2 linked regions of the Danio rerio genome follow. Each later gene encodes a partner of the first gene's protein in a complex. Links are inferred from orthologs where the notes say so. Each region holds a gene or a part of one and is shown on either strand. Other genes may lie near its edges.

Region 1 (16,399 bases):
AAACATTCCACAAGTAATCAAGTTAGTAATGCAATGCAAACGAATGGCCTTGCTCCACCCCCTCAGCTATTAGCCACACCCAAACATAGCACTGCTGCCAAACTGACCAATCAAAATCAATTCAAGTGGAAAATTTGCATGAGGCAAAAATATTCTGCTAGTAATCTATAACAAGTGACACAATGCACATGAAGTGCCTTGCTTGGCCCCCACAGCTTCTGGCTCCTCCCACACTCATTACCACTATTAAACTGACCAATCAAAATCATTACTTGTGCAAAAAGTTTCATTTTGATTACACATTGATTAAAGCTATCAAACTGACCAATCAAAATCATTTTGAGTAAAAAATTTGCATGAGGTGAGTGACGCAATGCAAATGAATAGCCTTGCTCCACCTCTATGACTCTTGACCCCGCCCACATTGATTACAACTACCAAACTCATCCATTCAATAATTTTCTTTTCAGCTTAGTCCCTTTATTCATCAGGGGTCGCCACAGTGGAATGAACCTTTAATTTATCCAGCATATGTTTTACACAGCGGATGCCTTTCCAGCCGCAACACAACCAGCTTCCAAACTGTCCAAACAAAATCAATGTGAGTGAAAAATTTGCATCAAGGCTAAAAGCAGTCCAAGAGTAATCCAGTGAGTAATGCAATGCAAATGAATAGCCTTGCTCCACCCTCCACAGCTCCTCAGCTATTAGCCCCACCCACACTCATCAGCTTTACCAGACTGACCAATCAAAATCAGCTTAAGTGAAAAATTTGCATAGGATGAAAAACATTCCACGTGTAATCTAGAGCAAGTAACACAGTGTGCAATAACAGCCTGACTCCGCCATCATATTCTTGGCTCCACCCACACATATCACAGCTACCAAACTGGCCAACCAAATTCAACTTGAGTGAAAAATTTGCATTGAGGCTAAAATTATTATCATTCCACAAGTAATCTAGAGCGAGAAACGCAATGCAAATTAATAGCCTTGCTCCGCCCCCACAACTATCAGCCCCACCCACAAGTATCACTGCAACCAAATTGGCCAATCAAAATCAACTTATGCGAAAAATTTGCATGAGGTGAAAAACATTTCACAAGTAGTTCAGAATGAGTGACGCAATGCAAATTAACAGCCTTGCTCCACCCCTACAGCTATTAGCGCCACCCACATATATCAGCTTTACCAAACAGACCAATCAAATTCAAGTTAAGTGAAAAATTTGAATTGAGGCTAAAAACATTCCTTGAGTACTCCAGTAAGTGATGCAATGCAAATAAACAGCCTTGTACCACCCCTATAGCTATTAGCTCCTCCCACACTCATTAAACCGACCAATCAAAATCAACTTAAGTGAAAAATTTGCATACGGCGAAAAACATTCTTAGTAATCCAGAGTGAATGAGTCAATGCAAATTAATAGCCTTGCTCCGCCCTTACAACTATTAGCCCCACCCACACGTATCACTGCTTCCAAATTGGCCAATCAAAATCAACCTTAGTGAAAAAATTGCATGAGGTTAAAAAACATTCCGAGAGTAATCCAGAATTAAGGATGCAATGCAAATAGCCTTGCTCCACCCCTACAGCTATTAGCTCCACCCACACTCATCAGCTTTACCAAACAGACCAATCAAATTCAAGTTGAGTGAAAAATTTGCATAAGGTGAAAAACATTCCATGAGTGGTCCAGAATGAGTGACGCAATGCAAATTAATAGCCTTGCTCCACCCCTTTAGCTATTAGCTCCTCCCACACTTATCGGCTTTACTAAACTGACCAATCAAATTCAAGTTGAGTGAAAAATTTGCATAAGGTGAAAAACATTCCACATGTAATCTAGAGTGAGTGATGCAACGCACATTACTGGAATTATTAAAACATTAGCGACACAATGCGATTGGTCACATGACTGCATCACATGACTAAAATGATCATAAATTTCCAAGGCCTCAGTTTTCACCGTCCACACTGAACTCCAAAACACTGCTTCACATTTATCCACTTAGGACAGCGACGTCAAACAGACTGTTTCCTAAAATCTTCGTCTCAGTGTGGACGGAAGGCTGTAGCGGAGAGAAAGATCTGCACTATAACTGAACCCTATCAGTGTGGCCATGGCCTGAGTCTCCTGTCCGTCTCTGTGCTCAGCTTTATCTAGCGCTGCATAAACACACAATTACACTAAACTCTTCCATTCCTGAAGTGAAAGCAAGTCGTGGCCCACACACACACACACACACACACACACACAGTTGCGCAGACAGTGAGCTGACGACTGAAGCCTGGACTCCATCAGCCTGCGGTGCCGCCATGTTTTTCACATTTATTTTCCTTCTCCTGGCCTGAGTTTAGTGTTTGGCAGATCGTTCATAACACGCTTGACTCACTGATTACCAGCACATACCTGAAGCAGTGAGTGTGTGGAACAGACCGCAGGCGCACACACACATTAACACACACACACACACACACACACACAGAAACACTGCTCACTGAATCTCCCACATAGAAATCTAATAAAGGACTCTGTATGCAAATGACACACATGCCATACCCGTTCATATTTGGATTTCATGTTTATAATATACGCAACATATTTTGGGAATATTGACAAATATCTATTGCAATATATATAGTGTTCAGCATAGATGAGTCTCAGATCCCTCTGTTCTCTCCAGGATGCTCTACAGTAATAAATCTGTGCAGATACAGTAGATCAGTCAGTACCAGAGATCACAATCCCACAACAATACACACAAAATAATAACATGCTGGAGGAAAATATGAAATAAGATTTTGTAGTTTGTATATATATTTTTCTAATACCTGGTTTGAAAGTAAAGTCTGATCTTTCTATTCCTGACCATATTATAAAGGATATAACTGATTTATCAAACTCCTTTGTTTAAATGCACCAAAATATACATTGAGAAATTGATGAAAATATTATTTTGTAAAAGTGGGTGTGCTCATTTATGAAGAGCACTATATATTACATATACACTCACCGGCCACTTTATTAGGTACACCTTACTAGTACCAGGTTGAACCCCTTCAGATCTGTCTTAATCCTTGGTGTCAGAGATTCAACAATCTCCTGGAAATATTCCTCAGAGATTTTGCTCCATATTGTCATGATAGCATCACACAGTTGCTGCAGATTTGTCGGCTGCACATCCATGATGCCAATCTCCCGTTCCACCACATCCCAAAGCTGCTCTATTGGATTGAGCTCTGGTGACTGTTGAGGCCATTTGAGTACAGTGAACTCATCGTCATGTTCAAGAAACCAGTCTGAGATGATTGAGCTTCATGACATGCTGCGTTATCCTGCTGGAAGTAGCCATCAGAAGATGGAGACACTGTGCTCATAAAGGGATGGACATGGTCAGCAGCAATACTCAGGTAGGCTGTGGCATTGATGCTCAATTGGTACTAATGGACCCAAAGAAAATCTCCCCCACACCATTACACCACCACCAGCCTTACAGCTGGTCTGGCAGCAACAACCATGCCACGCTCAAAGTCTCTTAAATCCCCTTTCTTCCCCATTCTGATGCTCGTTTTGAACTGCAGCAGATCCTTTTGATCATGTCTACATGCCGAAATGCAGTGAGCTGCTGCCATGTGATTGGCTGATTAGACATTAGTGTTAACGAGCAGTTGGACAGGTGTACCTAATAAAGTGGCCAGTGATTATAATTTAGAAAAAAAAAATTAAACCACTTCAAGTGTTAACTATTATATATATATATATATATATATATATATATATATATATATATATATATATATATATATATATATATGCGTGTGTGTGCTGATTTTAACTCCGCTATCTAATGTGTGAACTTATAAAGAGTTAGCAGAGGCAGACGATCAAACACCATAGAACATTTCCTCCAGATTGAGCCTCAGATTGGTGTGATGGAGTGTAGTTTGAGTGGACTGTAAATATCTAATACGAGGCTCAAGCAGGACAGACGGACTCTGGTTTTGAGCTCCACTGTTGGTTTGATTGATTGCGCATGTGAAAGGGAACAGTTTGTCAGAGCTCTCATATGTTTGACGTCTTTGCTTATTTCTTTCTCATTGCGAGTGTCAAACACACCGTAAGTGAAATAAATGCCTGGAGGAGTGTTTGAGGAAACCTGAAGCCTCATCTGGCAGAAAGCGGAGGCTGATTTCAGGAAAACATCATAGAGGAACATTCTCAATATCGCTGCGTTCCAAACGGGACATATCGCCCTCTTCAGAGTGAAAACAAACATGACTGCCATATTAGAGCACAGCTCCCAACCAAAGTGCTCAAAACAGGCCACTTTGAAGGGCCCTTCTGAGTAAAGGATTGTAAAAATGTTTCTGTCCTGTTTTTAGTCCAAATATCTACAAATTCTTAAATCAAGAAGCCTGTTCTAGTTAAAGCACAACTATTGTCTTGTTTTCAGAAATAATGAGTGAAAATGAAGCAAAATAATCTGACAACGGAGGAAGTGAAATCACCTTAAATCAAAATAAAAAGCAAGATCTTTGGCACCCTCCCGCAATACAAAGTCAATGGAGCGGTTCAGATTGTCAGTCCTCCCCCTCCTGAAACCTGCTTGATCGTCTCATTATTTAAAAAAATGTTTGATCCCTACATCCATCATCCCTTTAAAGCTGTCACTCTCTAGCTAGCGCAAACCCTTTGAAGGGATTAGGGTGTAGGGTTGAGCCCTTCCGAATGGAACGCAGCGTAAATCATTCCAGCACTGATATCGCAGAGTGTGCATCCGCAATACTCACATCAGAGTCTGCAGTGTTCAATCAGGATTACATTTGACCAGAAAACACAGCACAACATTCATGACCAGTGGATTACTGCACATTTATCCACAAACTGACCAACTAGTTTATCATTTGCTGCTGTTTTTAAGGCTTGGGTGACCGTGTGGGCAGCTTTGCTCTACTGCAGCAGTTCTCAAACTTTTTTCACCAAGTACCACCATAATGAGCAGTACTGAAATACAATAGTGTAGTAGGCCTAATTATGCAGCTACAGCACTGCACAGCTCAAAAACCAGGCAGATTAATTACTATTATTAGAAATATGTATTACTGTCAGCCACTTTAATATTATAATAATTATGTACACATTATAAATAGTTTGAACATTACTCACTGTGCTTGCAGACAAAAAAAGATATATATACACACACATACATACAATTTTTTAATACATTTTGAAATATAAGTTGCATGGGCACATGACATTTGTAATTATTTGAAATCTAAATATTAACTTGTATTGTAAATGTATGATTTGGAATTACATATTTAAATAAGAGATTAGCTCTGCTGCTTGTCATTTACAGTAGCCCTGTGTGTCAGATAAGCGAGCGGTTATATGCATATACAGTGTACAGTGATTGACTAATTCATACGTGCAGTATTTCCAGCCTGATCTCACGAGAAGTATTTTACGTTTTGCCAGTTCAGTGGCTAATTTGTACAAATTCCTACGAGTTCAGTCGTGGGAAATTGTACGATTTTAAAAAGGAGGCGGGGCACCTAACCCCACCCCTAAACCCAACCGTCATTGGGGGATGAGCAAATCGTACTAAATTGTACGAATTAGATCGTCTGAATTCATGCGAATTAGCCACTATATAAAAAATTTACGAACTGTTGTGAGATTGCGTTTGTATTTCCATGATTTGGTACAAATGAGATCACATCTTAAGTGAACCATGAAGTTTGCGTTAAACGCGCACTGACAGCTGTTTTCAAGCAGACTGCGGTACAGTTTGCCATCCCTTAGTCTGTGCACACGGACAATAACTAATTACAATCTACCTCTAATCTTCAGGTAAGGTAAAGTCTGAGTCTATGTTCTGTGTCTCGCCTCTTTTACATTTACATTTAGTCATTTAGCAGATGCTTTTATCCAAAGCGACTTACAATTGAGGACAAGGAAGCAATTTACACAACTATAAGAGCAACAATGAAGAAGTGCTGTAGGCAAGTTTCAGGTGTGTAAAGTGTAAGAAGCAAAACATTAGTAATTATTTATTTTTCTGTAGTACAGTTCGCGGTGGAGCCAGAGAGGCAATTGCAGATTAGGAAGGGAAGTGGAGACTAATTAGTTGAGTTTTTCTTGAAGACAGCGAGTGACTCTGCCGTTCTGATGCAGTTAGGGAGTTCATTCCACCAACTGGGCAGATTGAATGCGAGAGTTCGGGAAAGTGATTTCTTCCCTCTTTGGGATGGAACCACGAGGCGACGTTCATTCACAGAACGCAAGTTTCTGGAGGGCACATACATCTGCAGAAGTGAGAGCAGATAAGAAGGAGCAAAGCCAGAAGTCGCTTTGTAAGCAAACATCAGAGCTTTGAATTTGATGCGAGCAGCAACTGGCAGCCAGTGCAAACGGATGAGCAGCGGAGTGACATGTGCTCTTTTAGCTTCATTAAAGACCACTCGTGCTGCTGCGTTCTGAAGCACCTGAAGAGGTTTGATAGAGTTAGCTGGAAGCCCGGCTAGTAGAGAGTTGCAATAGTCCAGTCTGGAGAGAACAAGAGCTTGAACAAGGAGTTGAGCTGCATGTTCAGATAGGAAGGGTCGGATCTTTCTGATGTTATGGAGTGAGAATCTGCAAGATCGAGCAGTTCTAGAGATGTGCTCAGAGAAGTTTAGCTGGTCATCAATTGTTACTCCAAGGCTTTTTACATTTTGGATGCAGTAATGGTTGCCCCGTCCATCTGGATTGAAAAGTTATGGTGTAGAGTCGGGTTGGCAGAAACTTCAAGCATTTCCATTTTCGTGAGGTTCAGCTGAAGATGATGATCTCTCATCCAGTGTGAAATGTCTGACAGGCAGGCTGAGATGCGAGCTGAAACCGAGGGAAACACACCCAAATTAATAAGCTTAAATCTGAGTTAACTAAACTGAAAGCCACGCTGCATTATAAAACAAATAACTTCATATATTGAAAACATGCATTATTTTTCACGACTACGAGCACACATTTAGCACATGTGTAATAATTATTTTAGCAATGATGCAGCGTTTGCAGTAACTGAAATGCCAACACAACAGCACTGGTCTGCAGAAGGGCTTCTCTAGCACGTGTGTATCTGCTCTGCAAGCGCCACGCAGCTCTGTGACTCTGTCACAGTAAACATTCTAAGCACAGCGGTGTAATCGTACGCTTCAGGGAGCAGCCAATGCTATCTGATCACATGAGTCTCGGTGTTATCGTACGTGTCAAAGGGTTAAAAGTGTGTTCATTTTATTTTATTCTTTTATTATTCAGCAATTCTTCCGCGTACCACAAGAAAAAAAGCCCGCGTACCACAGTTTGAAGACCACTGCGATACTGTATTTATCAATGCTTGAGATTGGTTTATCTTATTTTATGCAAATGCACAAAATCCTTGCAATTAATGTAAAATTATGAGTCATTTCCAGAGCCATTTGTTCTTTAATTTAGCCAAAGTATGCTTAATATCGCAATATATATTGCAAAAACATTAAACATAGACACATTTTAAGCATAAATGTACTATTAGTTTATCATCTGAATGTGTTTTCAGGCCGTGTGACTGCATTTCAAACCACTTTACAAATAAAAATGTTGTTTTTAAGTTTAAGAAAAATCAATTGTATGTATGTGCATCTATGGTGAATATACTCCATACAGCAGAGGGCCGCAGCTCTGCACTGTTTTGTTCCAACCCTGCTCCAACACACTTACCTGTAGGTCTCAAACAAGCCTGAAGGACTCGATTAGTTTGATCAGGTGTGTTTAATTAGGGTTGGAACTAAACTGTGCAGAGCTGCGGCCCTCCAGGAACTGAGTTCTACATCTGTGCTATAGAGGACTATTTTATATTTGATTACTGTTTGTGTCTGAATGCTGACAGACTTCCAGAAAACCATGTGTGTCTCTGCTCTACTGTATTCATCAATGCTTGTGATCAGTTTATTATATTTTAAGCAGATGCACTGCTCTACAAGATCATTCCAGCTTATCTAGTTTGATTAATTCTTTCCTAATAGAGTTATTCATTTAATCTAGTGAAAGCATTCTCAGAATATGGCAGAAAAATCAAATATCATAATGTGTATTTTTAATATCACAGAGCCCTAATGCTCATGTGTGAGGTCTGTCGGACGGACGCAGGCTTTTCCTGTGTGTGAACTGCAAGCAGCAGCAAGTTAATAATCTTTTTATTCCCTCAAAACTCTTAATTATTAGACGCGGCAGTGTGCGCTGCGGGCAGCATAATTTGCAGATTACCTGGCGAGTGCGAGCATGTCTTCGCCCGCTGCATACTTTCACATCTACAGCTTTAAAGCGGCTGTTTGTTACCGTTTTTAATTAAATATCATTCCCACCTACTTAATTTCTGTCACCGCACAATAGAAAACAATTAAAGAGGCATTGAAAAGAGCAGGACTGGTGCAGACGTGTTTCTGAACACAAAGACCCTTCACATTCAGCTGGAACAGCGCACAATAAAGTCCCGTCCTCAGGGAACACTTTCACCCATAATCAGCAGCAGAGGGACGGCACGTCTTTCAGTGGTTATTGAGGCTTTTAACAACTCTTTTGATCAAAACTAACAGATAAAACCTGAGTTTACAGATGCTTCGGTAAATGAAATGAACAAGATATTTTAAAAGCCATTAAAGTTAGTTCACCTCATTATTATCAGGTGTTACTGCAGTTTCAGCTACAGTACATGAGCCTCATCTGAACTGAGATGTGTATTAAACTAGTGAAGCAGCAGTGAGTATCATGAAGCTCTGACTGACTCTTCCTCATCTTAATGTAATTTCATCATCATCATCATCATCATTATTATCATCATCATCAGATCCATGTTATTTTCAGGCATGAGGTCCACACCGCCAGCCTCAGGTCGAGCTCCCAGTGTTTCTTCCAGCAGCACCACTATATTCCCTCAGCCAGAGAAAGGTGAGAGTAAACTAACACTAAACCTCTGACTGTACTGAAAATCCAACTGTACTAAATCTCTAACTGTACTGAATCTCAGACTGTACCAAACCTCTGACTGTACTAATTCTCTGACTGTACTGACCATTTGACTACAGGGATACTCTGACTGTTTGGAATCTCCTGCTGTACCACATCTCTTACTTTACTGAATCTCTGACAGTACAGAATTTCTGACTGTACTAATTGTCTTAATTTTTCTAAATATATTAATGTTTCTATTAATATATTAATCTCTATACATACTCTGACTGTACTCAAGTTTAACTGTACTGAATGTCTGACTGTACTGAACCTCTGGTTGTACTTAATTTCAGACTGTACTGAATCTTTGACTTGCTGAATCTCAGCCTGTACCAAACCTCTGACTGTACTGGATCTCCGACTGTACTATATCATGGAGTGTACTGAATCTGACCGTACCAAATTTCTGACTGTTTTGAATCTTCAACTGTATCAAATCTCTGACTGTACCAAATCTCTTACTTTAACTCTTACTGAAACTCTGACTGTACTGAACCTCCGCCTGTACTAAATCTCAGACTATACCAATCCTCTGACTGTACTGAATCTCTTACTTTAACTCTGACTGTACTGAATGTCTGACTGTACTGAACCTCTGACTGTACTGAACCTGACTGTACTGAATCTCAGACTGTACCAAACCTCTGACTGTACTTAATATCCGGCTGTACTAAATCTCATACTGCACTGAATCTCTGACTTACTGAATCTCAAACTGTACTAAATCTCAGACTGTACTGCTCCTCTGACTGTACAAAACATCTGACTGTACTGAATCTCTGATTGTACTAAATCTCAGACTGTACTGAACCGCTGACTGTACCAAACCTCTGACTGTACTGAATCTCCAACAGTACTAAATATCAGACTGTACTAAATCTCAGACTGTATTGAACCTCTGACTGTACTGAATCTCAAACTGTACCAAACCTTTGACTGTACTGAATCTCCAATTTGACTAAATCTCAGACTGTACTGAAGTCTAACTATACTGAACCTCCAACTACTGAACCTCCGACTACTGAACCTCCAACTGTGCCAAATCTCTGACTGTTCTGATTCTCAGACTGGACCAAATCTCTGACTTTACAAAAACTCTGATTGTACTGAATCTCTTACTTTTTCTGAATATACTACTGTTCTGAATCTGCTACTATACAGAATCTCTTACTGTAGTGAATCTCTTTTTTTAATGTCATGTAGTAAATCTTTTACTTTTTCTGAATCTCCTTCACTCAATCTCTGACTGTTTACAACTGTGGTTTGTCTGACTGAACTGAATCTCTGACTGTACTAATCATCTGACTATTTACCACTGTTCAAATGCAACCGTTTATTGTCTGACTGTACTGATTCGCTGACTGTACTGAATCTCTGACTGTACCGAATATCTGACTGTACTGAATATCTGACTGTACTGAATCTCTGACTGTACTCAATCTCAGACACACACAACTGTTTATTGTCTGACTGTACTGATTCGCTGACTGTACCGAATATCTTACTTTACTCAATCTCTGACTGTACTCAATCTCTGATTGTACTGAATCTCTGACTGTACTCAATCTCCTACTGTACGAAATCTCCTACTGTACGAATCTCCTACTGTACTGAATCTCTGACTGTACTGAATCTCCTACTGTACTGAATCTCTGACTGTACTGAATCTCCTACTGTACTCAATCTCTGACTGTACTCAATCTCAGACACACACAACTGTTTATTGTCTGACTGTACTGATTTGCTTACTGAATTTCTGATTGTACTTCAGACCCAACAGGACAGGGTCACCTAGCAACGGCCCTCATCATCGCCATGTCAACCATCTTCATCATGGCCATCGCTATAGTGATGATCATCATGTTCTACATCCTGAAGAGCAAACCGAGCGGACCAGGTCAGAAATACGAACACTCGAGACTACAGTAGCACAACAACACACGGCAGAACATTACCAGATACAGAAGCAGCGCTACATTTAATAGATACAGATAACGCTTCAGATATCACAGTGTGTGTGTGTGTGTGTGTGTGTGTGTGTGTGTGTGTGTGTGTGCGCGCTGGCTCCAGCTGTGCTTATCATCACCTAGTGTATGTGTGTGTGTGTGTGCTGAGCATCACCTAGTGTATGTGTGTGTGTGTGTGTTATCATGTCTGATTCGGTGTGTGTGTGTGTGTGTGTGTGTGTGTGTGTGTGTGTGTGTGTGTGTGTGTTTCTGTTGGCTCCAGTTGTACTGAACATCATTGTAACCCAGTATGTGTGTATTTGTGTATTTAAGTGTGAATTTTAAATGTGCGACTTTGTGTTTGAGAGTAAATATGAGTGTGTGGATGTTTGTGTGTATGAGTGGAAGTGTGTGTTAGGGAGTGTGTGTTTAAATATGTGTCCATGTGTGTTTGAAAGTGTGTGTGTGCTTCGCCTCCACATCTGCAAAATCTCAGTGCTTCTGTAATAATCATTAATGTAACCCAGTGTGTGTGTGTGTGTGTGTGTGTGTGTGTGTGTGTGTGTGTCTCCTGCAGTCTGCTGTTCTGGTCAGCTCATCAAAGCTGTAGAAGCTCAGACAAACATGCAGGAGGAGAAGAAGGAGGCTCAGGGTGAGTGAAAGATCAGTCTCTCCATCCTGCACTTCTGGAATGCTCTTCAGGTTCACACACACACAAACACAAACACACACACACACACACTTGAAAATGCAGGTCAGCGGGGACAGATACACTTGCCTGCATCAGTAATCCAATGCAGACCAGCACACACACACATTCAGACATGCACAGACACAACAAACACACACTAAGACACTCACACACACAAACACAACCCACACACAGTCACACACTCCGGCACAGGACATTTATATCCATAGCTGACACTTTATAATTAGAACCCTGTAACCGTTGACTTTCATGGTGTTTATTTGTCCTACTATTGAAGTCAAGGGTTTCCAGCATTCTTCAAAATACCTTCTTTAGTGTTCAACAGAAGAAAGAAACTTAAAAAAGGTTTAAAACAACTTGAGGGACAGTAAACAGTGAGTGAATTAAAAAAATGTGGGTGAACTGCCCTTTGAAATTTATCATTAACTACAGCTTTTACAATCTATCTAAACCCATCTTAAAGCTCGCACATCATGCTAACACTGCAACGCGGGACACATATTTCAACAAGGAAATGTTAACACATTTCAACATCTACTGCATTATTAAAATCCAAATTCAGGCTAGTCATAATTAATCAATGCACTGTGAGTTAAACATTGAACTAACTGTATTTAGATGAACATTAATATAACCATCAATAAATACAATCAGAGAGGTGTTGTTCATTGTTAATAAATACAGTTGAAGCCAGAAGTTTACATACGCTGTATAAAAAGGCACATAACCATTTGTCAAAAAAATGTCAGATGTTTAATGGGACTTGATTATTTCTCTTTTAGGTAAGTCAGGATTACTATTCTATTTGCTTAATAGCAGAATAACGAGAGAGAGAGAGAGATTATTCTGCCTCTGACACAGCTCAGATGATGGTGTCGAGGTTTTGGAAGTTTCTGATTGGCTAATTGACAACATTTGAGTTAACTGGAGGCACAATAGTATTGAAGGCAAACCTCAAACACACCAAGGTTATTATAGTAAATGAAAACAAAACTACAATGTAAAATATTTGTCGTTTACTGAAATAAAAATAAAGCGAGTTTATGAAGAAACTAAAACTAACTGAAACTGTATTGTAACTAAAATAACTAATTACTAATTAAAACTAACTAACACAAAATTATAGTGTCTTTGTAAATGTATTTAATGTAATCTTACTGGAAGCCGTTTAGAAGTAAATATAATCCGCGCTGCAGGTGTTTGACCCGTACGGCATCTAAGAGTCTGTAATCCTGCTGCCATTGGCCAGATCGAGCCGGTTCTCCTCCAGTCATCCTCGCTGTTGCTCCTGCAACAAAAACAACCAGTGGACATGACAGCAGCACGATGACAGCATTAGATACACTTAAAACTATTACTTTAACATATTTGTGCCCAATAATGGGTTTATTTCTGTATCACCATCACTAACGAATCTTTTTAACCGGATCTTCTAAGTGAACCGGTTAAACAAGTTCACCAAATCGAACTGAATTATTTGAAACGATTTGCGTCTCCAGTAAGCACTTATCCACTATTTACTTTATAACAAGCCTAATACCCCCCTCTGACTCTAAATATCCAATATATACACTGAGTTATTCAGTTATTAGAACAGTAACGTTACACTGAGATCAAATTTGAGAAGCAGTGAACTGATATTACTGCGCATGCGTGATTCAGCAAATTAAACACAAACAGTACAGCCCGCTGTGACTCAACTAAACTTGAACAACTGCAGCGCGGGTAAACCGAGGGCTTAATTAGAAGATCTGGAGAAAAACGAAAGTTTATTTCATAACAGACAATCATAAGTTTAAATAAGTGTTTAAATAAGTGAATCCTGCTTCAGTTGGGCTGCAAAACTTTACTGTAAGACATTTTTCAGATCATGCTGATGTTTTAACTGACTGAAATGACTATTGCTGACTACATAATGAGTCCTGACATCCGCGTTAAAGATCTGAACTTCCCATCACTACTGTGCGTCTAACCTCAGAGCAGCCGTGCACACATACTGTACTGAGGGCTGCTGTCTTGTGGGCTGTTGTATTTGAGTTTGAGGATGGGTAGATGGTTGAGGTAGATGATAGTGGTCATGTGTCCTCTGAATACAGGTTTCAAAACATGTATGGCTGAGTTTTTATAATACAGTATTTATCCTGTTGATTTTGAATCCTGCACCTAACAAATATCCTCACTTAGAAAACAAACTAAAACTAAATCATTTTAAAGTATATAAACTAATAATCATTAGTAAATCTGCCTCTAAAACTAAATAAAACTGACTGAATTGGAAAACAAAAAGTCAAAACAAAATAGAAACTAAAACTAATGAATAACAACTAAACCTTGAAACTCTCTGCTTCCTTGTGTGACAACATGGGAAAATGAAAAGAAATCAGCCAAGACATCCACAAGTCTGTTTCTTCTTTGGGTACAATTTCTAGATGCCTGAAGGTGCCACGTTCATCGGTTCAAACAATCATACACAAGTAAAAACAAGATGGGAATGTCCAGCCATCATAGCGCTCAAGAAGGAGAAGAATTCCTCAAACTGTGTGTATTAACCCCTGAACAAAAGCGAAAGATGCTGTGAAGACGCTGGCTGCAGCGAGTAAGAGAGATTCATCATCCAGTGAAAAGAGTCCTGTACTGACATGTGCTGAGTGACCTCTCAGCAGAGAAGAAGCCATTACTCCAAAAACACCTTAGAAAAGCCAGATTACAGTTAGCTGAATGACACTGGGAACAAGACTGATGTGTGGAGACATGTCCTGTGCTCTGATGGAGCTAAGACTGAACTGTTTGGCCATAATGAGCAGTGTTACATTTGGAGGACAAAGGTGAAAGCGCACAAGCCTAGAACACCATCCCAACTGTGCAGTATGGGGGCGGCAGCATCATGTTGTGGGGTTGTTGAGAAATACTGAAGCAACATCTCAACACATCAGCCAGGACATTACAACTTGGCCACAAATGGCTCTTCCAAACAGACCATGACCCTAAGCACACTGCCAAATGAGTTCACATGTGCTTTAAGGACAGCAGAGTGAATGTTTTGGAGTGGCCATCACAAAGCCCTGATCTCAATCCTATAGAGAATGTGTGGGCAGAGTTGAAAAAGCTTGTGCGAGCAAGACAGCCTACAAATCTGACTCAGTTACAGCAATTCTGCAGGAGGAACGGGCCAAAACTCCTGCAAACTATTGTGAGAAGCTTGTGGAAGGAGACTAAAAACATCTGACCAAAGTTTAAAAGCAAAGCTAATAAATACCAAGGAAATGTTTATAATTCAGCTGAAGTCACATTAATGCGTATGGCAGATGATTTGAGAGCATCACAGGCTGAGCAGAGCGGATGTACGGTGTGATTATGAGTGTTTGATCTGCGCTCAACACTCGTCTAGAGCTGTACAGAAGCTGGTGTACAGTACAGCGTTCATCTCCTGTTTGCTCTCATGCAGGATCATCACTGAATGCTGATTGGCTAACACTTTACAATAATGCTCCATTAGGTCTTGTTAGTTAATGCATTTCTTAATCATACTTCAACATTTACTAATGCATTATTAACATCCAGCGTTAACATTAGTATATGCACCATGAGTTATCTAACATTACATCAATAACATTAACAAATATGCAATAAATGCAGTACTAACTGTTTGCTCAATTTAGTAAATGCATTAATTAATGGAGCATTTATTAAAGCGTTACCGTTGACTTTTATTCCATTAGAAAGCTGTCTGATTTGTAGAATTACACAAATCTGGGATATTAGAGGAATTCATAAATGGAAAGGTTGTGATTTGATTGAATAGTTGATCGCTTCCATTATATGTTCAGTATGGATATTTCTGTTTATTTACATCATTGTGGGCAGATCTGAGATTAATGATCTTCACTGATGTTCAAACCTTGCCTTTGCAGAGAACGTGGTGATCTTCCAGGAGAAGGACGAATTTGACAAACTCAAGCCTTCATCTCCAAAAACAGCCAAAAGGTGAGAGTTAACCAGCTCAACTAACCAGCAGTAACTAACCCGTTTAGAGACATCACAAAGTTTATCAGTCAGTTTAACCGACCTATTAGCCATATCAGTATAACCCGTAAGCCTAGTCAGTCAGATTAACTAACACGTCAACTTCATTAGTCAGATTACCGAACACATCAGCGGTGTCAGTCAGGTTAATTAACTTCAGCTTCATCAGTCAAGTTAACTAACCCAAACCCTCATTAGTCAGTTTAACTAACTCAAAACTTCATCAGTCAGTTTAACTAACCGAAACCTTCATCAGTCAGTTTAACTAACCCAAAACTTCATCAATCAGTTTAACTAACCCAAAACTTCATCAGTCAAGTTAACTAACCCAAACCTTCATTAGTCAGTTTAACTAACTCAAAACTTCATCAGTCAGTTTAACTAACCCAAAACTTCATCAGTCAGTTTAACTAACTCAAAACTTCATCAGTCAGTTTAACTAACCGAAACCTTCATCAGTCAGTTTAACTAACCCAAAACTTCATCAATCAGGTTAACTAACCCAAAACTTCATCAGTCAAGTTAACTAACCCAAACCTTCATTAGTCAGTTTAACTAACCCAAAACTTCATCAGTCAGTTTAACTAACCCAAACCTTCATCAGTCAGTTTAACTAACTCAAAACTTAATCAGTCAGTTTAACTAACCCAAACCTTCATCAGTCAAGTTAACTAACCCAAACCT
Region 2 (16,399 bases), on another chromosome or scaffold:
TTCTCACTGTGAGGATCTGGGATCTGATTCCTATTAACTCAACTACACTGGTATAATTCAGTCTTTCTCTGAGATCCAGGATCCTGAACTGTCAGTGAAGGAGAATCTGAAAGGCTATCAGAGGAAAATAGATGCAAATGTTCAGAACGGAATCCAGTGCTGACACCCCATTTTGAAAATGAATATTTGTATCCATTTCTCAGTGAATATAGGAAATGTATTTTGGTGCATTTAAGCAAAACAGATTTATTAAAGACATATATTTATGAAAACAATATTTTATTCACCAAACATATTTAGAAATAGAAAGAGAAAACAATTCAATTCAAGAAAAAAAATATGGCAGAATAAATATAAACTACAAAAATTTTACATTTTATATATTTCCTTTTTTCTTGATTTACTTTATTTTTGACAAATATTTAATATTTTTCCCCAACATATACATTCTGGCAACTGTATATGCACAAATATAATATTGTATAGCTTCCTATTAAAATATGAATTTAAAAGAAAGATTTTTGAGAGGTGTACTTGTATATGCTGAGCACTGTACCTGCTGTTTACTGTGCAGTATATCCTGAACACTACACATTTCAGCTCAGTAAGATGTCTCAGAAGTTATAGTGGACTATTTTGAAATGGTGTTTTATTTAAAACTGAAACCCTAATGAATACTTATATGAATACCTATTTAATAAACACTTATATTCATCAACATGAGTGTGGGCACACTGTAAATTTAAATTTGGTGTTAGAAAAATGATTACAACATTCAACAAACTGAATAAAATCGAATGTTTTGTAAGTCCTCCTTGATATTTTAGGTAGATCATGATGTTATTTCATGGTTTCACCTAACAATCATTAGGGTATACAGATTTTTTGACCTTTAAAATTAATTTGTTGGAACATTTCATTTTAAAGCAAGATTCTGAAAAGGTTGTAGCTCACTGCTGCACATATTTAAATGAAATGTCTTTCTATTCCCAAAGATGATGTTGAATAAAGTGGATTTGTTTAAATGCACCAAAATATATGATCTGCTCACTGAGAAATGGATCAAAATAACTCATTTATGCTGTGCACTGTATACAGTTAACGACAAAATGATTAGCATTCCTGGGAAACTATAAATCTTTTTTTCCAAATGTTTTACAACTGCTGTTTAACAGAAATACTTTTTCAACACATTTCTAAACATAATAGTTAAAATATCTCTTTTCTAATAACTCATTTCTCTTGTCTTTGCCATGATGACAGTACCATAATTTAGAGTTATTTTGCAAGATACTGATACCTAAACTAGGTTAACTACACTGTAAAACCCAAAAAGTGAAGGTAACTCGAACCATTTGAGGAAACGGATTGCAACAAACCACACTGAAAAAAGTGTTGCATGCAGAACTATTGCAAACAATTCATTTGTGTTCAATTTAAGCAAACAAATTAAATTTAATAATGTTTAACTTAATTCGTTTGTTTAAATTCAGCCTAAATAAATTGTTTACAACCACTTAACGTGAAAAATTAAGTAAATCCAAGCAATTATCTTTGAATAATTTTTTTCAGTGCATTTAATTAAAAAAAAAATCCAAATGAGTACTGTGAACTTAATCTATTTGAGTAAAGAGAACTCAAACCAACTGAGTACTGTAAAACTCAATAAGTTAAGGCAACTCAAACTGTTTGAGGAAACCGATTGCTACAAATTATTTGAGTTAAAAAATAATCTATATGAGGACTGTGAATTTACCCCCTTTAAGTTGAAGTAATAAGGCGTTTAATGAACTCATTACCTTCAACACTGAGTTCAAAACTCTTTTCATACGAGAAGAAATAACTTTCAGCCAATTTTGAGTTAACTGCACTCATTTCATTTGATAAAGTGGACTGTTGGGTTTTACAGTGTAGGCAAGTCACTGTAGAGGTTTGTTTTGTAGCTAATCGAAACAATCTAAATACAATTCTTAAAGGGTGCTAATAATATTGACTTTAGAAGTTTCTCCCAGCGAAAAACTTACTATTTACTTAAGAAGGCTTTCTCCAGAAGAAAAGGAAATACTGTTAAAATATCCTTGCTTTGTTAAACAACACTTGTGTATTATTTGAAAAAGAATTAAAACTTCACAGAGGGGTTATATACACCCTATATATGTACAGTGCTCAGCATATATAAGTACACCCCTCACAAAACTCTCTTTTAAATTCATATTTTAATAGGAAGCTGTACAATATTATATTTGAGCATATACATTAGATTAGTCAGCACTGAAGCCAAATCTGGAGCTTATCTAACAAAATGACTTAAATAACGCTCCAAAAACTAGTACAGCCAAATTTATTTGTTATAGAAAAATAGTAAATACAAATTTTAAAAAAGAGGAAAAATCAAGAGAAGCAAAAAATTTGAATTATTCAGTTGAAATTTTGTAGGTTGCAAATTATTTTGCAATATTTTGCTTTAATTTAATTGTATTATCTTTCAATTTCTAAATATGTTTGGTGACTAAAATGTTATTTTTAATATATAATATAATAATACATATATCTGTTTAATAAATGTTTAGTGTAAATGCACCAAAATACATAGCCTAGATTCACTAAGAAATGGATATAAATATTCATTTTCAAAATGGGGTGTACTCAATTATGCGGAGCACTATATATATATGCATGCTAATTACTGCAAAACAGTATTCTAATCCAAACACTTCTAGTCCAACCGTTTTAGTGCTGCCTTTATCTACTGTTGAGGAGCGCTGCTGCCCCCTACAGAAGATGTAGGGTATTTCATATTCAGAATGATGAGGGATACTAAAAAAAAGCATTATGAAGGAACCATCAAATTCAGTGCCTGAACATCTGCACAGAGATAAAGCGTAAAAGAACCAATCCAAACGAGCAAATCAAGCTGAACATCACTATCCTGTCCCGAACGCTGTGACTTAAAAACAGGTACTGTACATCCTTGACTGTGTGTAAAAGATGAGAGATAACTGAACATAGATATTCTGCTTTAAATACAATGCCATTATCAGTGCTTATTTAGAATAGACTGGTACACAGGTTCGCTATGCGTGTGCTGTTGAATGTAAAGATTGAGTGTCTGCTGCATAGAAACACAGTAGAGTTTCTCACTGGAAGAAAAATAAACACTTCTGTTTGCAGTTCCAGTCCCTGAAAACACTGCAGCTTCACTTCTTCCATGCGCACGTGTGTGCGTCTGTGTGTTTGAGTCTATTTGAGACACACACACACACACACATAGTCTCTCAGCTCATCTAGTCACATAAACCAGTTTTCTAGAACTTTTTTTAAAGTCTGCTTTGGTGTGTAAGGGCTGACAGAGGGTGTTTTGGGTACTGATCTGTGCATGTGTTCAGGTTTGGTATCAGGTGTGTCCTGCAGACGGGGCGTCCCCCAGCCGGATACTGCCCAGGAAGGTGGTGTGGTTGCTCATGGAGATGGAGGTGTCCTCGTATACCATGCGAATGGAGATTCTCTGACGAGCTCGTAACAAACACACTCCGGCTGTGTAGCAGGTGTTGAACTTGCGCTGGCCGGTTTCGATGCTTCTGGTGCAGCGTAAGAACGGAGTTTTGTCCACCATCACCTCGTAACTGGCAATGTCGGTGAAATTCAGGTAATATACCTGGTGCAAACACACACACAAAGCGCATTGGGGCTTTTAATGTTGCTGTGGTATATTTGTGAAACGCATGCTGTATATGTGTATGTGTGTGTGTGTGTGTGTGTATAAGCAGTAGAGTCCAGGGACTGTACTCACTTCTACCTGACTATATATAAAGTATGTTCCGTCAAGTAGGACCTCCAGCTCTCCAGAGCGCGAGTGCATTTTAAACACTCTCTGGTGGATCGAGATCATCCTCCAATTCTTCAGCACACCTTCTGACAAATCTCACAGACAGACACCAGTAAATACTCAATCATCTGTTGTGACTGTAGCGACACACACACACACACACCAGGGCTCAACTGTTGAGAGCTTTTTAATATAAACTGACATTTTCATAAAAAATTCTAATTTTCAATGATCAATAAACTTTAAAAAAAGAAAAATGCCTTTTACACTCTTATTATAATACAGTATTACACTATTTACACTATTATTAAAATATTTTTCATATATTAAACATCTTTATGCTAAAGTATTTCAAAGTGTATCCTTGTGATTCAAAGCATCATTACTTCAGTCATTAGAGTGACAGAATCTGAATAATTTAATATGCAGATTTGGTATTTAAAAAACATCTGATGTTATTATGAATGGAATAAACGATCAATTATCAGTGGAAACTGACACAAATTTCTGTTTGTAATTTTTATGTGAGCAGAAAGTTCTAAAAAAACGTTATTAGTGTTTATTTTTTCAAATTTAATATGTGAACTTGGTTCAATCACACAAAAGCTTAATACAGGGTTTCTGCAGGTTTCATCAAGTCAAATCTAAGACTTTAAGACCTTTTTAAGAACATTGGGAATGAAATTTCAGATTTACATTTTTTTCTGGCCCAGTTAAAACATTAAAAACATTATAAACAAATGTCATTGTAAGGATGATAATTAAACCATATTGGGATATAGAGTTAATAAATAAATGTTTGTTAAAGGTTTTATTGAGATGGATTGGTGGTGACTGGATGTGTGTTGGCCCGATTAGGTGACTTTACGTGGACAGAGGAAAATTAAGACCTGTTTAAAATGATTCAGGACCAACACAATATTTCAGTGAATTCAAGACTTTTAGGGCCTAAAATTCTATTTTTGAAATGTAAGATATTTTAAGACTTTTATTAGGCCCTGAAGACACCCTGTTACATAAATAACCTTAAGATTGATGTATGATCTGTTAAGATGAGACAAATCTGGAATCACATGAATTTTAAAATCTCCTTTTATTATTTTTTATTTTTTAGAAAATTCTTTTAAAATTGCCCCAATTATGTTCCTACTTCATAGCAGTATAAATTATGACGAATCACAAATTATGCTTTTTTTTATATATTCACAGTAGGACATTCACAAAATATATTCTTAATAAATATCTACTTTATATTGTAATGTACCTGTGAAATAAGTTTATGACACAGGGTCACATATGTCACTGCTGTGTAAAAGTATTTATTTAAAGAAAAAATTTCTGACTCAAAACGTCTGACTGGTACTTTTTCCATGAAATATACATTTCTAACAAAGTACACATATTATGGCCAGTGGACCATCCTTACAGCTGAGCCCTTCATACAAAGAAGTCAAAACAAAAACAAAAAAGCATTTCTTTATGAGAAGGATCATTATTTAACTCTTACCTTCTTTCACTTGGATAGTGGTTTCTTGACCTTGAAGATGCACCACAGCTGGCTGCAGAAACATCAAACACATTAAAAAATCTATTATATCTTTGCGCACACTCTGAAAAGCATGATGAAAATGTGCTTGTGTCCATAAAAGGTCCCCTGAAATTAAACTAAGGTTATTTTTTATGTTAATATCAGTATTATGCTAGTATGCTCCAAAATAGTGACAAAATTCACATATAGAAGATATAAAACTGATATAGATATGTAAAGTTTGTAGTTTGTCACTTTCACCTAAATGGATCAATGGTTTTATTCACAACAACCTATACTAGTTTCTTATCACATCATAACAAATTAAATGCTCTCTAGTATATGACATGCCCCACCCCCTTCAAGACGCTTCTCTTTTGCTTTTCATTTGATGCGCTTAGGCTAAACCATTCTTACAGGCAGAGTGGTGATGAAATAAAACTCTATTGGCTGTTTTTTTTTTTAAAGGGGAGGAGCTACACAATGTCCCACCCTCTATTCATGTTTTGGTTGAGATTACTTGAAACATCGAATAAAAATGCACATTTTAAAGCATTTCACAAGACCTTTAATCTACACTCCCTAATATCATCTCTTTTATATGGAGTCATGTGCAGTGTGTCTGTGGAGATGAACACACATACCTGTGCCTCTCTGTGTTTGCCTTTCTCACCACCTGTTAACACAAGGGGAAGGGGAAAATTAGATGGGTTTAGTGTCTGTTAAGTGACAAATTATTGTGATAAACTTTGAATCATGTAATTGTAAATGTCAAAGCTGTTTTGTGTATAATCCCTTCACAGCAGGAGTGAAGGCTTCCACACATCTTTACAACTAGCAGAGCTGAACAAAACACTGATGACCAGCGTGAAAGACATTCAGGACAAGTGATGGATTTTACACGACTGTTTCAGACAACAGGTTTATCATTTCCATGTGCTTTTAAGTGCAAATGTGTGAACGTTTGGGCTATTTAAAACCAAATGTAAGCAGTTGTGAATGCGAGAAATACAAGATGTATCGTTTTTAGCACACAGTTCAAAACAACCCATTTGGAGTTTTGATATTTATTATACATTGTATATTTACATATATATATTTTTCTTTTATGTCTTCTTGAAGAAAAGTAGTGAATATGACATTTTACCTTCTTGATCACAAATCATGTTGCACTGCTTGTTTACTTCAACCTTAAAATACTTCTTTTACACAATATTGTTCTGTCTATGTACTTGTATAGTCTGTCTTAGGTTGTGTGTATTTACAGAATGTGCATAGTTAGTAGTTAGCATAGTTAGATTACCACTTTGATATGTTAGTTATATATAGGTTTAAAATACGTCCAGTGTTGTGTTTAGAATTATGATTATGTTTATTTATGTAGCACTGTAGTCCTGCAAGACACAACATTTCATTCCACTGTATATCTACATGTGTAGCGGAATGACAATAAAAAGCACAACTTTAACTTGAACTGGCATCTCTATTATTATACTGGGTCAGTGCATTTTGTTCCTGAATGGAAAAACAATTGTTTTTCTAACAAGGATTATTACATGGCTCTCTGGAAAACTTGGTCAAAATGAATGCTTTTTCCCCTGATAGCATAACCAATTAAACAGGCTCAATTAGATACTTATAAATAGCTTTATATTTAATTAAATGGCTAATAAATGATTACAGCTCAGATCAATGTCTTGTATCTCGCTGTTCTGTCAAGTAACAGAGTAATGCGTTTCTCCTCATGCTGGGATTTTGATAAGCTGGTCAGGTTTTGTTCTGTGATAAAAACCAGCAGGATGTACATTATTCCTTACTTAATCTATATTTATTTTTATTATAAAGAGGATTCTACTATATCAAAACTGGAACAAAACTAGTGAAATACATCTTGGTCTCAAAAATGATTAAACTACAAAATAACATGCTTAGAATAACACAAAAAATCGGCACTGATAGCCTTGTGGGTAGTGTGCCGACATATAGAGCCACTGTGCTTCTGGAGTCCTGAGTTCATGTCCCAGCTCACAAACCTTTCCCAATCATTTTAGCTTATATCCTGTTATTATAAATGGCAAAAATGAAACAACTAAATTGAAAATTTTAAACAATGAATTCCTATGGACTACAAAAACACGGCACTGCAATGCAGCCCCATCATTTAAACCATGGGTCTCAAACACAGCTGATCCAAATAATCAAGGGGTTTGAGACTCTTTTGAACAACTTAATTATTTGGATCAGCTGTGTTTGATTAGGGTTGGAGCAAAACTGTGCAGAGCAGCGGCCTTCCAGGAATTGAGTTTGAGACCCATGGTTTAAACTGATTTTGCTCTGCTGCTTCACTCTAGATGTGAAGTGCTCGCTTTGACTGTATGTAGAGGCAGGTGTCAGTCTTAACCTGAAGGTCCCTGAGGTCCAGGTGGTCCTTGTGGTCCAGGTGGTCCTTGTGGCCCAGGAGGGCCGGGTGGGCCAGAGGGACCCATGGCGTTGCTGCCTGGAATTCCTGGGATCCCTGGTATTCCAGGTGGACCCTGTGGACCAGGTGGCCCCGGAGGTCCAGGAGCACCAGGGGGCCCTTTCTTGCCTAAAGACATAAAGAGAGAGAGAAAGGAAAGCAAGATCAGTCTCCCATAAGCTGAAACATTGAAAGCACTTAGAAACAACTGATGAGAAGCAAAACAAAGCTCCTAAAACTGCCACTCAATTTTCAAATAACAGCGAGAGGATGATGAAATTACCTTTTTTTCGCTCGCCTTTCTTTTTTCCATTAGTTTCTGGATGAGGAATAAGCAGAAGGAAGAAAGACAATCAGTTGGAAATGTATCATTTTACATTCACAAATCACACATGCAACAAAATGTTCCTCTTGAAATCCTGTTTCAGATTCCAGAAAAAGCGGATGATTTATTCCAAGAGATGGTTTATTTGCTTCAAAGTGGCTAAATTGATAATGACGCTCACATGACCACAGAAAAACAAACCCATGTGTAATTTGAAGGACAATTGCTTCTGCTGCTGTCTACAAATACACACATGCACACGCACACGCACACACACACACACACACACACACACACACACACACACACACACACACACACACACACACACACACACACACACACACACACACACACACACACACACACACACACACACACACACACACATTTCAGTACTAAAGCAGCATTGGATCCTCTAACATCCACATGTATAATGTTGATAACATATGTGAATGAACAATCTATAATACAACCGATCAAACACACAAGCAAATCTACATTTGTATAATCAGAGCTTATCAGTGATGAACAAGTAGGACAAAGACTTTTATAGCTAAAGTCTAGGGTAAACACCCACACGCACAGGGGACTTCACATAGAGATAATGACTTTCATACTGTACAGACTGTATTTTCTATCCCCCTACCCAAATTGACCAACAATTTAAGTCCCCACTGTGCTACAAGTTCCCTTGAGTGTGTGCATTCAGGTTTAAGTCCTCACTGGGATTTAAAAACGAGCACACATACACTCACACACACACACACGCACACACATAAACTCTCAGGAGACGGATCTGTGTTCCTAAGGCCTGAGGTCACTCTTGTGTTTGTGTTGGCTAGTATTCGGGGGTCTTTTTTTTTCGTAATAAAACTACTTCAGCTCATTTGTAAATGACTGCCGCTTTCATTGTGTTGTCTGGTGGGCTTCGCACGCGATATCTCTTTTTCTCAAAACACAGAATATCAAAACTGGAGACAAACAACTTGCTGCCTTTAATCTTTTCCTGTAATCGTTCTTTTTTTCTCATTATATGAAAATCAACTAGAGTTGAAAGAAAGACCAATATGCACTTATATGAAATCAAACACGAACAACCAAAACCAAACATGACACACAGAATAAGCATGCAAAGAACTTGACCTGCCTTCAGTGGCGCTCTGCAGAGCTCCCCGTCTTCTTGAGAAAACAATCAGGAGTGAACTCAGCGGACAGTTATTTCAACACAAACCCTGCATCTTTTACACATGCCAGCTGCAATTCAGTTCAAGCAGCTGCAAATGCCAGGTGCAACCAACACTGCGCTTTCCCTGGCCATGAAAAGTGGAGGGTTTAACATAGCTGATCAATTAAGTCTTGATTTTGTATTCAATTGAGTCTATTTTTAACACTTTTGTGAATTTCAAAGAAAAACAAAAAGCACAGACTAATGGTGTGCAATATTGACAGATCTCAACATCAGACTGCTTCTTACTCATTACAGCACATGTACAGCATACCTCTCCTGCTTGTTTGTATACAATAACTGATCCTTGAGCTCTGTCATGTTAACAGCTTGTAGAAAAGTCTCATTGGGGCTGTGGCTATTTGCCCTTAATTGTAAACAGAATTCTTGTATCCTGTATTTTTCTCAAAATTTTTCTCAAAAATTGTATTTATTTGCATATTTGTGTATATTTTTAAAGGTTTTGGCTGGAATGGCATCCGCTGCAAAAAACATATGCTGGATTGGCAGTTTATTCCGCTTTGGCGACCCCAGATTAATAAAGGGACTATGGCGAAAAAAAAAATGAATGAATGTATATTTTTACAGTCTTTCTATAGTGTTTTGGGCTCAGTGGTTAGCACTGTTGCCTCACAGGAAGGAGGTCGCTGGTTCGAGTCCCGATTGGGTCAGTTGGCATTTTTGTGTGGCGTTTGCATGTTCTTCCCATGTTCATGTGGCCTTTCTCCGGGTGCTCTCCCAGCAGCCACACAACATCACAAGACGTTAATATTAGGTTAGATTTAAGTCGTAACGTCAGGTGACCAAAAATCTGTTGAGCCAGCGTCTAACAACAAACATTATTCTGTCTTCCACAAACAACATCAAATGACGTTGATATTTGGTTGATTTTAGGTTGTGTTAGAAAGTAATCAGAATCTAACGTTGAGCCAACATCTTAAACCAAGTCATATTGACATTAAATACGGACATTTATTGGTCAGGTATGGCAACCAAAATCAAATGTCTGGTAGATGTCATAGTGGTAACTTCCACACAACGTCAAGCTGTAACATCTCGTTTGGTTGATTTTAGGTTGGACGTTGACGTCCGCCTCACGTTGGGATCTGATGTCAACCCGGTTTTCATTTCCAAACAAAATGCATTGTCCCCATGACATTGGGGTACAACGTAAATCTAACGTCATGTTGACATCCTGTGCCTGCTGGGCTGGTTTCCCCCACAGTCCAAAGACATGCGCTATTGTGTATGGGTGTTTCCCAGTACTGGGTTGCAGCTGGAGGGGCATTCACTGTTTAAAACATATGCTGGATAAGTTGGCACCTCATTCCGCTGTGGCGAGCCCCCTAAAGGCACAAAGCCAAAGGAAAATAAATGAATGGTGTTTTGTGTTATATGTAGGCTTCTAGTGTCTGAGAGTAACACAATTTCAATTCTCTGTATGCCTTGCATTTATCGTTAATAAATTTATAATGCAAACATTTATAGGAACTGACAATAAAACTAAAGATACATTGGCTAGTTTAGGCCTGTGTTTAAAAATAAATACACTAAACTGCATGCAAGTGGTAGCAAGGCTGTTTCAATGAGGGATTCACTAAATTTAAAATGATCTGTTATAAATGAAGCGATTGGCTTTATGAATTGATTACAGACATAACTGACAAAAAACTATATTGTGTCTAAAATGTAATACAATATTAACTTTTTGTTAAAACAATTAAAAGAAAAAAAAATCATATTCTTTAATCATGTTTACAACTAAAGTTTGGGAAAAAAAAAAACTCGTTTTATTACTAAAAAACAATACAGGGTTTTCTCTCTCTCTCTTGAGTTAAGCTTTATAATAGCTTCATCATGCAGTGAATGCTTTAAGAACGCTTCATTTTTTGCAAAGTTTGCGACATCATCATGATAGTCAGCTTGCACATTCTTCAAACATTAATGTTGATAGTATTGTAGTCTGTAAATATCACGCCACTGTAGCGCAGACAACTAATTTATAATAATTTATTTCAACTAAAAAAAAAAAAAAATAAAAAAAAAAATAAATATATATATATATATATATATATATATATATATATATATATATATATATATATATATATATATATAAAAAACTGTATAAAGGTGGCACAGTGTCTTAGTGGTTAGCACTGTCGCCTCACAGCAAGAAGGTCGCGGGTGCGAGTCCCAGCTTGACCAGTTGGCATTTCTAGGTGGAGTTTGCATGTTCTCCTAGTACTTGTGTAGGTTTCCTCCGGGTGCTCCAGTTTTCCCTACAGTCTAACGACATGCGCTATAGGTGAATTGAATAAACTAAATTGGCTGTGAATGACAATTTATGGGTGTTTCCCAGTGTTGGGTTGCAGCTGCAAGGGCATCCACTGAGTAAAACATATGCTGGATAAGTTGGCTGTTCATTCCACTGTGGCGACCCCTGAAGAATTAAGGGACTAAGCTAAAGAAAAAATAACTGAAAAAAATGAATACTGCATAAATCAACCACAATATACCCCAAAATAAATGATTTAAAAGGGACCTATTATGCAAAAACACAAAACACTGTGTTTAAACACAGTTGTGTGGCAACAGTGTATTAATTTAGCCAGCTAATCCACATCAATTTGCTAAACATAATTTAAACATCACCCTACATATTAGTAATCACTGGGTTTGTGAGATAATTGATCCTGTAAATTTACAGCAGTGATTTAACCAGTGTATGAACTCCCTCTGGTGGTGATGGTGAGCTTCAGAGAGAGATCACACAAGAAAAGCAATAGGACAATGAGCTTATGACTACATTTGAGACAATTTAGAGGTAAGAATCTTTCATGAGTATTTTTCTAAATGATCACAAATCACAGTAATGCTTAATTTAATCAGACAAGCACAGTATTGTGAGTTTTACTGGCTAAAATAGAAATCCATAAAACTGGTATGCATGTGTGCACGTGTGAATGTATACAAAGAATTCATAGGGAGGGCTCCTTGACGGTGGGTTTGTCTGTGTTTGTTTTAAATGGGAGAAAAAAACGAACGAGTGTTAAAAGTCTTTAATGAATGGAACAAATTAGCATCAAAGACAGACAATATTGGAACCATATTTCACAGCAAACATGCAGCTGCACACACAAACACACCGAACACCAGCTGTACATTCACAAAGTGCATGTTTATGAGGCCACAAAGTGAGTGAGTTTGTCTATGTCCATGTGCAAGTGTTTTGACCCTTGAATCTGTGAATTGGGAAGGAGACGGCATGACTTTTTGATCACAACGATGGATTAGAAATGGCTTCCTTATTGAATTACACACAGGCACTCACACACTATTTGGCAGTAGATGGAGCAACTTGTGCATCAAAACTAAATGCTTTGATTTTATACTAGAATCTAATCAATTAAAACGGGTTGTCAACATTTCATGGAAATGTAGTTTAACAGAATTAGAACCAAGTCATAAAAATCACGTAAAATATGAGTTATATTGTGCGCGCACGCTGTTCAAAACATGTTCAAAACACAGCGTTGAGTGAGGTCTGTATTCTTCAGCACACACATAAGAGCCGCATGCAAAATCCTATACATCTATATTCCAGTAAGTTATGGATTTCTTAACATCCATGCACTGCTGTCAAATATACAGAGATTTAAGCTCGGATTATTAAAAGCATGCTGTATCTGCAGAGTTCAAGACTGAACAGCGTTGTGATTCACCTATGAATACATGTAAATGTGCTTAGATTACTTCTAAGGGTAAAGCCAAGTGTGCTTTTCTCAGTAAACCCTGAAACACAATAATTGCCTTTTGTGTTTGCATTGATAACTTGCCAGAACGGGCATTTTGGCCAAGAAGGATTTGACCGTTCACACGCGCTCGCATTACCACAAGGTAATATAGAACAACTGTCTAGCGGTGCGATGGGGCTGTTCGCGACAATTTATGGTGGTAAAACAATACAAACCGCCCTAAGGCTTTCTATTCTTTTTTTTTTGCAACAGTGTAATTACAGTAAGTGCAGTTATACTCTCATTTGTAGGTTATGAACTCGGACAGAAAAAGTGAAACGAGAGTGTAACTGTAACACTGTAACCTAAAATGTAACTTTGTTTTGAGACATATTAATAATGGTGTATTTTTTTTATATAATGAGTCAAACTAGATGAAAACTGCTGATGGAATCACAATACTGAAATTGCACAGCATTGTTATAGTAGCTTAAACAAAATGAATTTTTTATTATTACAATTGATGACATTTTTAGAATTCTCTTTTTAGGAATGCATGCCATCAACTCATTAAAGTGTGTGTTGTATTCACTTTCTTTAATGCGCCAAAAATCCTTTAATTCACAAAATTTTTTTTAGGCTTGCTTGAGGTGGTTTTGGACGTGTGCGAAAAAGTGTTGCAAATAATAATACATTTTGACACAGTGAACATTACACCCATGTGACTAATCAGCTGTCTCCACCATTACTACAATCACTCTAGATGGAAAAAAACCTAGTTCGCATTTGAAATGTAGTGCCCTATCAAACAACAGGCGCAATAAGGCGCAAGACGTGTATGGTGCGATTTGTTGTTATTTTCAGACCAGCATAAAAAAAAAAAAACACTGCATCAATGCCTTCTTCATGTCGGGGGGCTTTTTCAGTTTATTTCAATTTGAATAATGTTATTATTATTAGCTGTATTATTTATTATCTGCATATTTATATTTGTTTGAATAAAAACAAGCTTAGATTTGTCCCCCTGTTGAGTTTTGGAGATGTATGCATCAGCATATGGGGCATGAGAATAGGACGTTTGTTTCAATATAGCTCAGTTTTTTTGAACACACTTCATTATTGTTGATTTATTCTTTTGCTGGAAATTAAAACTGAATATAGAAATAGTTTTGAAACAAATCTTGGCACTTAACATAACAAAATTAAATATGTAGGCTGATGAATGTTTTCAGTGCAGTGCTTATAATACCATTTCCTTTTCCATGAAGGTAAAGGAGTAAAGAGTAAAAGAAATATGAAGTAAAGAGGCCAAATGGAGGAGGCTCATTCTTTAGTCTCGTTCTGGTCTGTTGAACTGTTTTCTCGCTAGTTAAGCATTTAATTTTTCCTCTTACAAAGTCTGTCATGTAAATAGCAAATGCACCATGGTGTGACGCAACTGACTCTTAAAGGGAATGTGAGATGAGACTCTGATTGGTTTAATGCATGTTATGCTCAAAACACACCCAGAACTCATTAAGAGAATAAGAACAACCCTGTTAGACCATGCGCCGGGGCGCAAAGCGTATTTTTCCATCCTTACAATAGCAAAAGCTGATTCGGACACACCTTTAATTTATTAGACTTTGTGCGTAGATCATTAAAATAGAGCCCCTAGACTTTTTTTTGCAAACTTTGAAAGCATTTGCTTCATGCCATACAGGAAACCCAACTACACTAGAAAAGAGAAGCATGACACAACACTAAAAACAACAGATTCCACAGTGATCAGTGATTCCTTCTAGATATGACGTAGTTGGTGCAATGTGACACAGCCAATCCAGACAGTAAACTGATACATCATTTTATTTCTGATGAACTCCATGCACTATTAACACAATTCAGGACACATAGATTCACAGCAGTCACTTTTCTGCAGTCAGATTACAGCTATTGCAATGCAACGCAACAGAGGTAAAGGAAAAATGAGACTAAAATATGCCAAATACGTTACATTTTAATACTTATTATTGTATTATTCATGTCAGGGTACAACAATGTAATTTTACTTGAGCCTAAAGTGTATCATATGCTCCACTGTATAATGCTTTCCTGATCCACACACACGCACACACATGTACACACACACACATAATTAGCACATCTGGATTGTTAACTTCAAACTGGATTATATCATACACCGCATGTGTCTTGTTCATCAGTGAACTTGCTCCAGCGTCGTTTGCGATGGCATGTGTGTGTAGTCTGCGTGCGCGTTATCTGTGTTGTATCGGTATTTGCTTTGGCACACAACACACACAGGTGCAAAAAGCTGAAACAGTAGAGCTCCTGATCAGAGCCAGTGAGTGCAGAGCTGTAATCAAAGCCAAAACCACCTGCCAATCAAACGGCTGCCAACTGGAGCCAATCACGGCAGTGGAAAGAGGAGTAGGTAACTAAAAGCTACAGCCGGCCAATGAGAGGAAGAGAGAGAGAGAAAAGAGGGGCGCAATATCGGTTTGTTAGAAGCTACTAGAGTGGAAAAAAGGAGAGGGATTTCACATATAAACTACTGGTGCGCACAGCATAGCCCAATAATGAGTAAGATGGAAGGAATGAACGAGGGGGAGAAGGAGAGTGAGAGGTAGCCTGATCAAATGAAGGAAATGCATCTCGTTTTGAACTCGAAACCACATCAAAGTGAAAATGCTGGCAATCTCGCAGGCCTTATATATACACACACACACACACACGTATACACACTCACATGCACACTTAATATGAGCTCTACATTTCATGAATACCAACACACACAAAAGGTTTTCTTTTTTTACCTGAACGTTTGGTGCGATGAATGACTCTATCCAGGCCTCTTGTGTGTTCATCCCTCCATCTGCTCTGTGAAGATGAAGGAATAAGGGTTTTTTGAAATGCAGTACAGAAGAATGAAATTAATTCATGGAGCCGTTTCAAAGCATTTTAGAGTTTAACTCGAGTTTGAGTTCGAGCCAAGACATGATCAATGAAACTAATCCACTTCTTCATAAAATAAATGTCACCATGTAAAACTAAAACTACACGCATACAAACGCACACACCTCTCTGCTGACAGACAACACTCTGAACATAATGAACATAATGTGTGTGTGTGTGTGTGTGTGTGTGTGATGAGAAACCCTGTGGATTTACAGCAGTAAGACATTCCATTGGGATGATCCAGCACACAAACACACACACACACACACACACACACACACACACACACACACACACACAATCACATAAACTTAATGAATTATTTAAAAAGGAAATACTTTT

The links.
Region 2: the proteins of edar (region 1) and eda are in contact, whole or in part, in a crystal structure (PDB 7X9G), measured with the Homo sapiens proteins. The link is inferred for Danio rerio from reciprocal best matches to the Homo sapiens genes EDAR and EDA. Residues at the interface, in NP_071731.1 of Homo sapiens: Glu55, Pro56, Tyr57, Leu58, Lys78, Ile86, Arg88, Arg89, His90, Asp92, Glu94, Gly95, Phe97, Val134; in NP_001390.1 of Homo sapiens: Gln256, Ser258, Ala259, Gln261, Asp265, Asp273, Arg289, Tyr310, Tyr311, Lys340, Thr341, Tyr343, Ser370.

Annotation. Positions count from the first base shown.
Region 1 is NC_133184.1:58,409,691-58,426,089, forward strand, and holds part of edar (tumor necrosis factor receptor superfamily member EDAR), read left to right. Parts: intron 1-8,870; coding exon 8,871-8,971; intron 8,972-10,805; coding exon 10,806-10,931; intron 10,932-11,557; coding exon 11,558-11,632; intron 11,633-15,603; coding exon 15,604-15,676; intron 15,677-16,399. UniProt on the Homo sapiens protein: Receptor for EDA isoform A1, but not for EDA isoform A2. Mediates the activation of NF-kappa-B and JNK. May promote caspase-independent cell death.
Region 2 is NC_133180.1:37,385,408-37,401,806, reverse strand, and holds the end of eda (ectodysplasin-A), read right to left. Parts: intron 15,980-16,399; coding exon 15,916-15,979; intron 8,132-15,915; coding exon 8,096-8,131; intron 7,942-8,095; coding exon 7,756-7,941; intron 6,031-7,755; coding exon 5,999-6,030; intron 5,386-5,998; coding exon 5,334-5,385; intron 3,922-5,333; coding exon 3,797-3,921; coding exon of another isoform or gene 3,791-3,796; intron 3,656-3,790; coding exon 3,395-3,655; 3' UTR 400-3,394; downstream 1-399. UniProt on the Homo sapiens protein: Cytokine which is involved in epithelial-mesenchymal signaling during morphogenesis of ectodermal organs. Functions as a ligand activating the DEATH-domain containing receptors EDAR and EDA2R. May also play a role in cell adhesion.